3 linked regions of the Anolis sagrei genome follow. The protein of the gene in region 2 purifies or fractionates together with the protein of the main gene of each other region. This does not show direct contact. Links are inferred from orthologs where the notes say so. Each region holds a gene or a part of one and is shown on either strand. Other genes may lie near its edges.

Region 1 (3,753 bases), on a different chromosome or scaffold from region 2:
AACAGATATCAGATCTGGACCAAACTTCACATACAGACCCAACATGGCCAACTGTGCATACAGGCCTGGTTTGGGAGTGATTGACTTTGGATCTGGGAGTTATAGTTCATCCTTATCCAGAGAGCCCTGAATCCAGCCAATGACGCATCTGGATCAAGCTTGGCACACAGACCCAACATGGCCAACCGTGAATGCTGTCAAGGGTTTCGGGGTGCTGGGGTGGTGATTGCCCTGGGAATCGTAGTTCAGCCTTATCCAGAGAGCACAGAACCCAGCCAACAACAGATCTGTACCAAACTTTAGAGGCATTACCTAACATCCCGAAACAAACAATGCCTTCTTTTAATAACCCAGGCACCTCCGGGTTCCCAAGCTAGTGTGTGTATGTGTGTGTATGTGTTAAGCTTAGGATAACACTGGGAATGAGTGATACCCATGCGGAGATTCCTTTGCTGTCTGTGCTCCTGTTCAGGAGATTTCAGCTCACTTTCTGTCCCTGTGATAATTGGATTTTGAAGAATTTGGCTTGTTGTAAAAACAAGGATTGGTGATACAGTTTCAATGGAGACCCCTTTTCTCCATGATAACTCCTCTTTCAGGAGTGGGTTTCCCTTCTGAGGGGTATATTTCTCCCCCTGTTGTCTAAGCCCTGTTCTTAACTAGGAGTCATTTGTAAGTCCCATGTTTACAACTTGGGGGCGGCCTGACCTGCTAGCCACACCTATTTCTTATTTTCCACCAACTGGTTATGAAAGGGAGTTTCATGGATTCTTGATAGCAATCCTATTCCTGCTCTCCTGAGAAAGAAACACAGCTCATGTTTATTGGACAAGGACCTACATCAGTGTTTCTCAACCTCCCTAATGCTGTGACCCCTTAATACAGTTCCTTATGTTGTGGTGACCCCCAAACATACAATTATTTTTGTTGCTACTTCATATTTGTAATTTTGCTACTGTTATGAATCATAATGTAAATATCTGATGTGTAGGATGTATTTTCATTCACTGGACCAAATTTGGCACAAATACCCGATACGCCCAAATTTGAATACTGATGGGTTTGGGGGGGAATTGATTTTGTCATTTGGGAGTTGTAGTTGATGGGATGTATAGTTCACCTACAATCAAAGAGCATTCTCATAATGTAATATCTGATGTGTAGGATGTATTTTCATTCACTGGACCAAATTTGGCATACCAGATACGCCCAAATTTGAATACTGATGGGTTTGGGGAGGGATTGATTTTGTCATTTGGGAGTTGTGGTTGATGGGATGTATAGTTCACCTACAATCAGAGCATTCTGAACTCCACCAATGATGGAATTGAACCAAACTTGGGAAACAGAACACCCATGTCCAACAGAAAATACTGGAAGGGTTTGGTGGGTATTGACCTTGAATTTTGGAGTTGTAGTTCACCTACATCCAGAGAGCACTGTGGAGTCAAACAATTATGGATCTGGACCAAACTTGGCACGTATACTAAATATGCCCAAATGTAAACACTGGTGGATTTTGAGGGAAATAGACCATCACATTTGGACGTTGTGGTTCCTAGGATTTATAGTTCACCTACAATCAAAGAGCGTTCTGAACTCCACCAATGATAGAATTGGGACATACTTCCCACTCAGAACCCACATGACCAACAGAAAATACTATGTTTTCTGATGGTCATTGGCAACCCCTCTGACACCCCCTCATGACCCCCCCAGAGGTCCCGAGCCCCAGGTTGAGAAACACTGACCTACATAGAATTTAATAGGTCATAGAACAGCGCTGATCCTTCAATGTAGATCAGGCATGGGCAAACCTCAGCCCTTCGGGTATTTTGGACTTCAATTCCTGGCTGTTAGGACAGGCCCGTAGCCAGGATTTCGTTTCGGGGGGGGGGGGGGGGGGCTGAATTTTTTTTCAGGGGGGGTTTCGGGGGGGCTGAATTTCGGGGGGAGGGGGCTGAGTCTGAGTGAAAGAGGGTCTAGCCTAGCAAACCTTTTGTATCATTACCCCAATACCCCCATGCATATGGGATATATTGAGTATGGTGATCAGATCATGATATGAATAAACATAACAGTTTAAATAATCCACCATTAAGGCCTTTTTGCGAACCACCATGAAAATTTCGGGGGGGGGGGGGGCTGAAGCCCCCCGAGCCCCCCCCCCTGGCTACATGCCTGTGTTAGGAATTGTGGGAGTTGAAGTCCTAAACACCTGGAGGACCCAAGTTTGTCCATGCCTGATCTACACTGTAGTGACGCTTGATGCTTTTTAACTCCTGTCAGAATTGTAAACACAAGCAAAGACCTATCTTTCCCAGCCCATTTTAAACGATGGATTTCAAACGTCCATTCTCTTAGTACTGTATCTTAATGCAGAGATTATCAGCTTTCATATATGTATGATAATGCGTTTTAACTGAAAGGGAAAAGAAAGGGGTCTGAGGCTGTTAAGAATTGTAGGAGTTGCAGTCCAAAACACCTGGAGGGCCCAAGTTTGCCTCAGAACGAATCTTTCCCAAGGAAACACCACACAAGCTTCACCTTCAGAAGGCAAAAGGCTCTTAGGTGGTGTATTGTCGAAGGCTTTCATGGCCGGAATCACTGGGTTGTTGTAGGTTTTTTGGGGCTATAGGGCCATGTTCTAGAGGCATTCTCTCCTGACGTTTCGCCTGCATCTATGGCAAGCATCCTGCGGATGCTTGCCATAGATGCAGGCGAAACGTCAGGAGAGAATGCCTCTAGAACATGGCCCTATAGCCCCAAAAAACCTACAACAACCCAGCTCTTAGGCACTACCTCAAATTCTTCAGAGAAGAAGGCCGCCTCGGGCTGGGCGCCTCACCGGTTTGCTGAAGGACTTGGGCGCCTTCCTGCTCCAACGGCGGCTGCGCCCCGCCTTCAGGCCTCATATCCGCCGCCATCTTGCCGGACTTACATCCGGGTCCTCCCGCTGCCGAGTCACGGCTTCTTCACCAGCGAATGAGAAAGCGGGACGTCAGAATTCGTTTCCTCGTCCAATGAGAGGGGTAGGTATCCTTGAACCAATCATGTGGCGAGGAAGGGAAAAGAAGGCGGGAAGTGAGGAAGCAGGACCAATCAGAAGAAAGGGAGGTATTTAGATGACAAGGCTGAGTATTTAACAAGGGAGATTGTATGAGTAGGCGTCAATACCATAATGAGAATACCATAGTAGTGATTTTTATTTTTAAATATATATTAATAAGCTTGTTCCCTATCTGGATCCATAGGGAGAAGAAAAGGGAAATATAATAATAATAATTTAGGCATTAATAATAATAATAATAATGGACATGTGGACAATTTCAATAGAAAGGAAGAGACCATGAAAATAATATATATTATTTTTAAATATATATTAATAAGCTTGTTCCCTATCTGGATCCATAGGGAGAAGAAAAGGGAAATATAATAATAATAATTTAGGCATTAATAATAATAATAATAATGGACATGTGGACAATTTCAATAGAAAGGAAGAGACCATGAAAATAATATATATTATTTTTAAATATATATTAATAAGCTTGTTCCCTATCTGGATCCATAGGGAGAAGAAAAGGGAAATATAATAATAATAATTTAGGCATTAATAATAATAATAATAATAATAATGGACACGTGGACAATTACAACAGAAAGGAAGAGACCATGAAAATGAACAAAATCTGGCTACCAGTATTAATTAAACTCTAAAATTACAACAGCAAAACAGCAGAGAGGAAACAA
Region 2 (3,753 bases):
AATTGTATATATATATGTATGTGTGTGTGTGTATATGTACAATGAAATTATACCATTATATATATTATGAATATATATAACATAATATAATTGTGTGTGTGTATATATATATATGTAAAGGTAAAGGTAGTTTCCTGACATTAAGTCCAGTCATGTCTGACTCTGGGGTGTGGTGCTCATCTCCATTTCTAAGCCGAAGAGCCGGTGTTGTCCGTAGACACCTCCAAGGTCATGTGGCCGGCATGACTGCATGGAGCGCCCTTACCTTCCCGCCGGAGCGGTACCTATTGATCTACTCACATTTGCATGTTTTCGAACTGCTAGGTTGGCAGAAGCTAGGGCTGACAGCGGAAGCTCACACCGCTCCCCGGAATCGAGCCTGCGACCTTTCGATCAACAAGCTCAGCAGCTCAGTGCTTTAACCCACTGCGCCACTTGGGGCTCTCATGAATATATATAACATAATATAATATAATATAATTTTGTGTGTGTGTGTATATTTATACACACACACACACACACATATATATATATGTATTTGGGCATATATGTGTGTATATGTACAATGAAATTACACATTTCATTGTACCATTACACATATTATATATATTGTGTATATATATAATATAATTGTATACATATATATGTATGTATTTATGGGTATATATCTATGTGTGCATATGTACAATGAAATTATACCCTTTATTATTATTGTCTCATATCCTCTACACATGCAGAATCAAGTACAGACTTACCCCAAAGGAGGCAAACCTTCAATCCCTGCGTCTGCTATACATATAAACAGGACTGACTTCCCACCAGGCCTGACCGGAATGGAAAGCAACGGCGTTCCCGCCCATTCTTGAAAACCTCGCCTGGCCACGCCTCCTCCTCTTTTTCCTGCCCATCCCGCGCTCCCATTGGTCCAGACCCAAAGCTATCCGGAGGTGGAGGCCTCCCATTGGCGGAGAGAGGGAACCAATGGGCGGCGGCGCGAGGCGAGGGGGCGGGGAAGGGCTGCGATTGGCGGCGCCGGCGAGCAAAAGGCGATTCTGATTGGCCGGGCGAGAGAAGCGGAGGGCTGGGATTGGCTAGACGGAGGGGAACACGCTTCGGGCTCCGATTGGCCGGGCGGAGGAGGGTGGGGCCACGCCAGGCAAGATGGCGTACCAGACTTTCCGCCAGGAGTACCTTCAGGTTCCGCCGGTCACCCGGGCCTACGCCACCGCCTGCGTCCTCACCACCGCCGCCGTGGTCCGTGAGTCGCGCCCGGAAAGGGATTGGGGGCGGAGGGAAGCGCGGAGGCAGGCCTGAGGGGGGAGGGAGGCCTGAGGGGAAGCTAGGCCGCAATCGGTTGGGGTCTTCGAAGAGAAATCGAGGGGGGATTGTACACTCAGGCCTCACAGAGAGGATTCCAAACGCCTCCTCTCAGCTTTCTCTTCTTCAGGCTAAACATGCCCAGCTCTTTAAGCCGCTCCTCATAGGGCTTGTTCTCCAGACCCTTGATCATTTAACAGCCCAAAGTCTATTAACAACACATTAATAATGATTATTATGATACAATAATAATAATAATAATAATAATATAATGATAATGATAGACCACACCTGGAATACAATTCTGGGCACCACAATTGAAGGGAGATGTTGACAAGCTGGAATGTGTCCAGAGGAGGGCGACTCAAATGATGAAGGGTCTGGAGAACAAGCCCTATGAGGAGCGGCTTAAAGAGCTGGGCATGTTTAGCCTGAAGAAGAGAAGGCTGAGAAGAGACATGATGAGGGCCATGTGTAAATATGTGAGGGGAAGTCCTAGGGAGGAGGGAGCAAGCTTGTTTTCTGCTGCCTTGGAGACTAGGACGGAATGGAGCAATGGCTTCAAACTACAAGAAAGGAGATTCCATCTGAACATGAGGAAGAACTTCCTGGCTGTGAGAGCTGTTCAGCAGTGGAACTCCCTGCCCTGGAATCTAAATACGTTAGAGGAAGTCATAGGGAGGAGGGAGCGAATTTGTTCTCTGCTTCCCTGGAGACTAGGACGCAATGGAACAATGGCTTCGAACTACAAGTAAGGAGACTCCATCTGAACATTAGGAAGAACTTCCTGACCGTGAGAGCTGTTCAGCAGTGGAACTCTCTGCCCTGGAATGTGGTGGGGGCTCCTTCTTTGGAGGTTTTTAAACAGAGGCTGGATGGCCATCTGTCAGGGTTGCTTTGAATGCAATTTTCCTGCTTCTTGGCAGAATGGGGTTGCACTGGATGGCCCACCAGAGCAGTACCTATTGATCTACTTACATAGTAGGCCCCGCGGGATGAGAGTGGGAGTAGGAGCAGGGGGACCCATTCCTTCCCAGCCCAGAGTGCATGTGCACCAGAATCAAGGCTTCCCTCCCTCTCCCTAAGCCATTCCCCTCCTTACAAAGCTTATCTGCATATTGGGGGTGATGGGAGTTGTAGTAGGAGGCTGAGAGGAGACATGATGAGGGCCATGTATAAATATGTGAGGGGAATATGTTATAGGGAGGAGGAGCAAGCAAGCTTGTTTTCTGCTGCCCTGGAGACTAGGACTCTTACTGGAGTATACGTCCCCGTCCCCCCCTCGTGGGAAAATTTGATTCCACATCTCCCACTATAATGAGCCCTCCTCCACAAATAATTTGTTTCTCTTTTATCTCACTCGAGTTTTTAACCAGTTTTAATTAGTTCTTTTAACCATTACATGTAGCCCACCCATTGTCACTGTGTTTATTGTAATTTTATATTGCTGTATATTCATATGTTTTATGTAATTATGATGTTGTTTATTGTTTGCGTTTTCGGTTTGCATTCGGTTGTTCTTTATTGTAATTGTTGTTTGGGCTTGGTCCCATGTAAGCCGCTCCAAATCCCCATTGGGAAGATGGTGGCGGGGTACAAATAAAGATTATTATTATTATTATTATTATTATTAGGACCCCATGGAGCCATGGCTGCAAACTACAAGAAAGGAGATTCCATCTGAACATCAGGAAGAACTTCCTGACTGTGAGAGCCGTTCAGCAGTGGAACTCTCTGCCCCGGAGTGTGGTGGAGGCTCCTTCTTTGGAGGTTTTTAAACAGAGGCTGGATGGCCATCTGTCGGGGGTGCTTTGAATGTTATTTTCCTGCTTCTTGGCAGAATGGGGTTGGACTGGATGGCCCATGAGGTCTCTTCCAACTCTAGGATTCAATGATTAACAGCCCAAAGTCTAAAGTTTCAGAGTCTAATGGAGCCTCTGTCTTCTTCCTAAAGCATTCTGTTTCTACTGACATCTAAAAGCATACTCCTTCTAAAATGGAGTCTGAGTCCTGAATAGTCCCAGGTCTGATCACATCGTCAGCAGCCCCTCCCACAACACAGAGTTAAGGAAAACTGCATACCAACACACACATATACAATATTGTAAGCAATAACAAACAACTAGTGGAGGCTTGAAGAAGGTTGCTATTTCAAACAATTTTCGTTCGCAAAGGCGCCAAAATGTGGAACTCCAAGCTTTTGTCAGAGATCATTCACATGGGTTACAAGAAGCTAGAGATTGAAGTAAAGGTGCAAAAGTGTAACAAACTTTTACAGTGAGACTATGACACAAAACAATGGCTTCAAACTACAGAAATGAGATTCCATCTGAACATTAGGGAGAACTGCAATGCAACCTGAGTCCTGCCACATGCACGATGGAGGACCTTCTTGCAGCAACACCAGAAGCGCTCCAAGTGGCCAGATACTGGTCA
Region 3 (3,753 bases), on a different chromosome or scaffold from region 2:
TCCACATTCCATGCATTGATACGGCTTCTCCCCCGTGTGAATCCTTTGATGGGAATGCAGACCATCACTCCAACTGAAGCTCTTTCCACATTCTATGCATTGATACGGCTTCTCGCCCGTGTGGGTCTTTTCATGGGAATGCAGACTGTCAATCCGACTGAAGCACTTTCCACATTCCGTGCATTGATACGGCTTCTCCCCTGTGTGGGTCCTTTGATGGAGACGCAGGTGCACACTCTGACTGAAGCTCTTTCCACATTCCACGCATGTATATGGTTTCTTCTCTCCTGTATGAGTTTGATGTTCAGTAAGAGAACTACTCCCCATGAAACATTTCCCACAGTCCATACAGTTATGTAGCTCCTCCTCTGTATGTGATGTGGAACAGGGATGGAAATTTTCCATTTTTTATTTATTTATAATTCACTTCACTTCATTTCTTAGTCGCTCCGAGCGACTTACAGTCTAAAATAGCATTTACACAATATAAAAAATTCAAATATTATGCCTGAGGTTCACAGAAATGAACTCCCGAACCGCACTGCTTTTCCTCTTCTCTGTATCTGTATTGCCTTAGTCTTCTGGTTTCTTTCCCAAGGCCCTCTTTTAACAGCACAATCCTTCCTTTCCTCCAAGTATGTCGCTTGAAATATGTCTCTCCTACTTATTCCTTGTTCGTGTCACTGCAGTGAGCCTCCATTTCAGTCCTAAGGCATCCCTGGGACAAAGCTCTCACAGAGTCTTCTTCACAAGGCGCGTTCAGGGGTTGATGCCTGCCACAGATACAGGCGAAACGTCAGGAGGGAATGCTTCTGGAACACGGCCATACTGCCCGGAAAACTCACAACAACCCGGTTACTTCCTCCTCTCCGCCGTCATTGAGGAATCCCACTTCCCTCCTCCGGAAGTGGTTGCTGTTATTATCATGGCATTATTATATTTATATCCCGCGTCATCTCTCCAAATAGCGACCAAAAGCGGGCGTGATTAGAAAGCACAGCCTCCAGAAAAGATAGGATGCCTGTCACGGGTTGCCACGCTGATTCATGTATGTATATGGAGAGAGGCATTCTCACCGCGGGGGCTTCTGGGAATTGTAGTCCCCGAGATCAGCTTCCCGCCCTCCAAGAAGATGTCCCTTCGTTGTCTCCTCCCCTCCGCCCCGCCCCCTCGGCACGTGCGCGTAGAAGCCAGCGGAAGTTTCGAATTGTCGCGTCACATCCGGCGAGTGACGCCATCGCGGGTCAGAGGCGGCAGGAAAATGGCGGCTCCAGAGGAGCGGGAGCTGTCGGCGGAGCAGACGGAGAAGCTGCTTCAGTTTCAGGTGTTGGCGCCGGGCGCGGAAGGCGGAGGCGGGCAGGGGGCGGGCGGGAGAGCCGAGCCAGCCGCCCGACGAGGTCCCGGGCTTCCTTAGTCGCCGCGGGGCCGAGGGGAGCAGGGCCGGCTTGGCCTGAGTTTGGGGCTGGAGGCGGGGCGGCGGCGGGGCCTAGCGCGGGTGGCTCGGTGTGGGAGAGGGGCCGCTTCATGGGAGCAGGCGGAGCCACCCATCGGCTGGGGCTCCCTCCCTCCCTCCCTGGGGTTAGGACCATTCCCCGCAGGAGTCACGCTAGAGCTTAGGCAGGGTTGATTTGCGGGGAACACTATCCTCCTGCCGCTGCGATCGAGCTGCTTCGACTGGTAAACAAGTTCGGAAAAATAGCTGATTTCGTTGCCTCTTACTATGGCATCAATAGCAGCAACTGTATCGCACGTAGGGATTGGTAAGCACCTCAACAGGAAATGAGTCAAGTAGGCTGCATTGGCGGAGGAATCTCTTAGTCCAGGGGTGTTATTATCTCTTGACCAAAACACAAAGCAGCTCACAACATTGAAAAAACCCAATACCATTTAATCCCCACAAACATACAAATGTTAAAATGGAATTAAATATAGAAATCAATTTCAATCACCTGAAAACTTCTAAAATAATCAAATATTCTACAGGACCACCCCCATAGAATCATAGAGTTGGAGGAGACCACGTGGGCCATCCAGTCCAACCTCCTGCCAAGAAGTAGGAAAATCACATTCAAAGCACCCCAACAGATGGCCACCTAGCGTCTGTTTAAAAGCCCCCAAAGAAGGAGCCCTCACCACACTCTGGGGCAGAGAGTTCCACTGCTCTCACAGTCAGGAAGTTCTTCTTCATGTTCAGGTGGAATCTCCTTTCCTGTAGTTTGAAGCCATTGTTCCACATCCTAGTCATCAGGGCAGCAAAAAACAAGCTTGCTCCCTTCTCCCTATGACTTCCCCTCACATATTTGGCTCTCATACATGGCTCTCATCATTTATTTATTTATTTATTTACTTTGCTTATATACCGCTGTATCTCAAGCCCGAAGGCGACTCACGGCGGTTCACAAACAGTAGAAACAGCAGTGGTTCCATACAACATATAACAATTGACTTAACACATTATCCATAAATTACCAATAAGCAATTACAATGCACAGTTATTACAAAAAACAACCGTACCCAATCTTCTCATCATCCAAGCGTAGTCCAGGTTCGTCGTCCATTGTTCCATTCCTATGTTCCATTACCAGATTGCACTAAATTACTTAAACGCCTGCACAAACATCCAGGTCTTCACCTTTTTGCGGAATACCATTAGAGATGGTGCTAGTCTAATGTCCGTAGGAAGGGCGTTCCACAGCCGAGGAGCCACCACCAGCCATCATGTCTCCTCATTTCTCTTCCTCAGGCTAAACATGCCCACCTCTTTAAGCCACTCCTCGTAGGGCTTGTTCTCCAGGCCTTTGATCATTTTGTCACCTTCTTGACACATTCCAGTTTGTCAACATCTCCCTTAAACTGCGATGCCTAGAATTGGACACAGTATTTCAGGTAATGTCTGACCAAGGCAGAATAGAAGGGTAGCATGACTTCCCTTAATCTTAAACTATCGCTCCCCAAGCTAGTGCTTAAAAATGCCTTCTGTAAAAGCATGAATGAAAAGGACAGCAAGGAAAGGACCATTCTGGCTTCCCAGTGCAGAGAGTTCTGCAGTTGAGGGGAAGGCCATAGAGAAAGCATTGTCTCGTCTTCCTACCAACTGTGCTTGCAATGGTGGTGGCAACCAGATAAGGGTCTCTCTTGAGGATCTCAGGGCCCAGGCAAGTTTATACAGGGAGATGCAATTTTCCAAAACCCTGGACCTGAGTCATATAGAGATTTATAGGTCATGATCTGCACATTGAATTGTGCCCTCAAAGAAAGTGGCAGCCAATGGAGCTGTTGCAACAAGGGAATTGTGTACTCCCTGTAGCCAGCCTGGGGTTTTATTATCATTATCATCATTTTATTCATGTAAATCCTTCTTTTCTCCCAGTAATTAGATTCAGGGCAACTAACAACATATTCAAAACAATTCCCCAACTGTTTGTCCCCTTGATATTTTCATAGAATCATAGAGTTGGAATAGACCACATGGGCCATCAGGTCCAACCCCTGCCATGCAGGAAAAGCACAATCAAAGCACCACCCGACAGGTGGCTATTCAGCCTCTGTTTAAAAGCTTTCAAGGTAGGAACTTCCATCTCACTCTGAGGCAGAGAGTTCCACTGCCGGACAGTTCTACAGTCAGGAAGTTCTTCATAATGTTCAGGTGGTATCTTCTTTCCTATAATTTCAAATCATTGCTCTGAGTCCTAGTTTCCAGGGCAGCAGAAAACAAGCCAGGTGATCATGTCTCCTCTCAACCTTCTCTTCTGC

What was found.
Region 1: the proteins of DERL2 (region 2) and SELENOS purify together in Homo sapiens (affinity purification with western blotting; 3 studies listed by BioGRID and IntAct, with this or other methods). This does not show direct contact. The link is inferred for Anolis sagrei from reciprocal best matches to the Homo sapiens genes DERL2 and SELENOS.
Region 3: the proteins of DERL2 (region 2) and FAF2 purify together in Homo sapiens (affinity purification with mass spectrometry; 5 studies listed by BioGRID and IntAct, counting the BioPlex papers as one, with this or other methods). This does not show direct contact. The link is inferred for Anolis sagrei from reciprocal best matches to the Homo sapiens genes DERL2 and FAF2.

What each region holds. Positions count from the first base shown.
Region 1 is NC_090029.1:22,354,967-22,358,719, reverse strand, and holds the start of SELENOS (selenoprotein S), read right to left. Parts: upstream 2,972-3,753; 5' UTR 2,928-2,971; coding exon 2,849-2,927; intron 1-2,848. UniProt on the Homo sapiens protein: Involved in the degradation process of misfolded endoplasmic reticulum (ER) luminal proteins. Participates in the transfer of misfolded proteins from the ER to the cytosol, where they are destroyed by the proteasome in a ubiquitin-dependent manner.
Region 2 is NC_090031.1:30,188,987-30,192,739, reverse strand, and holds the start of DERL2 (derlin-2), read left to right. Parts: upstream 1-1,136; 5' UTR 1,137-1,161; coding exon 1,162-1,254; intron 1,255-3,753.
Region 3 is NC_090022.1:78,305,709-78,309,461, reverse strand, and holds the start of FAF2 (FAS-associated factor 2), read left to right. Parts: upstream 1-1,213; 5' UTR 1,214-1,261; coding exon 1,262-1,324; intron 1,325-3,753. Other genes in the region: zinc finger protein ZFP2-like, read right to left, coding at 1-405. UniProt on the Homo sapiens protein: Plays an important role in endoplasmic reticulum-associated degradation (ERAD) that mediates ubiquitin-dependent degradation of misfolded endoplasmic reticulum proteins.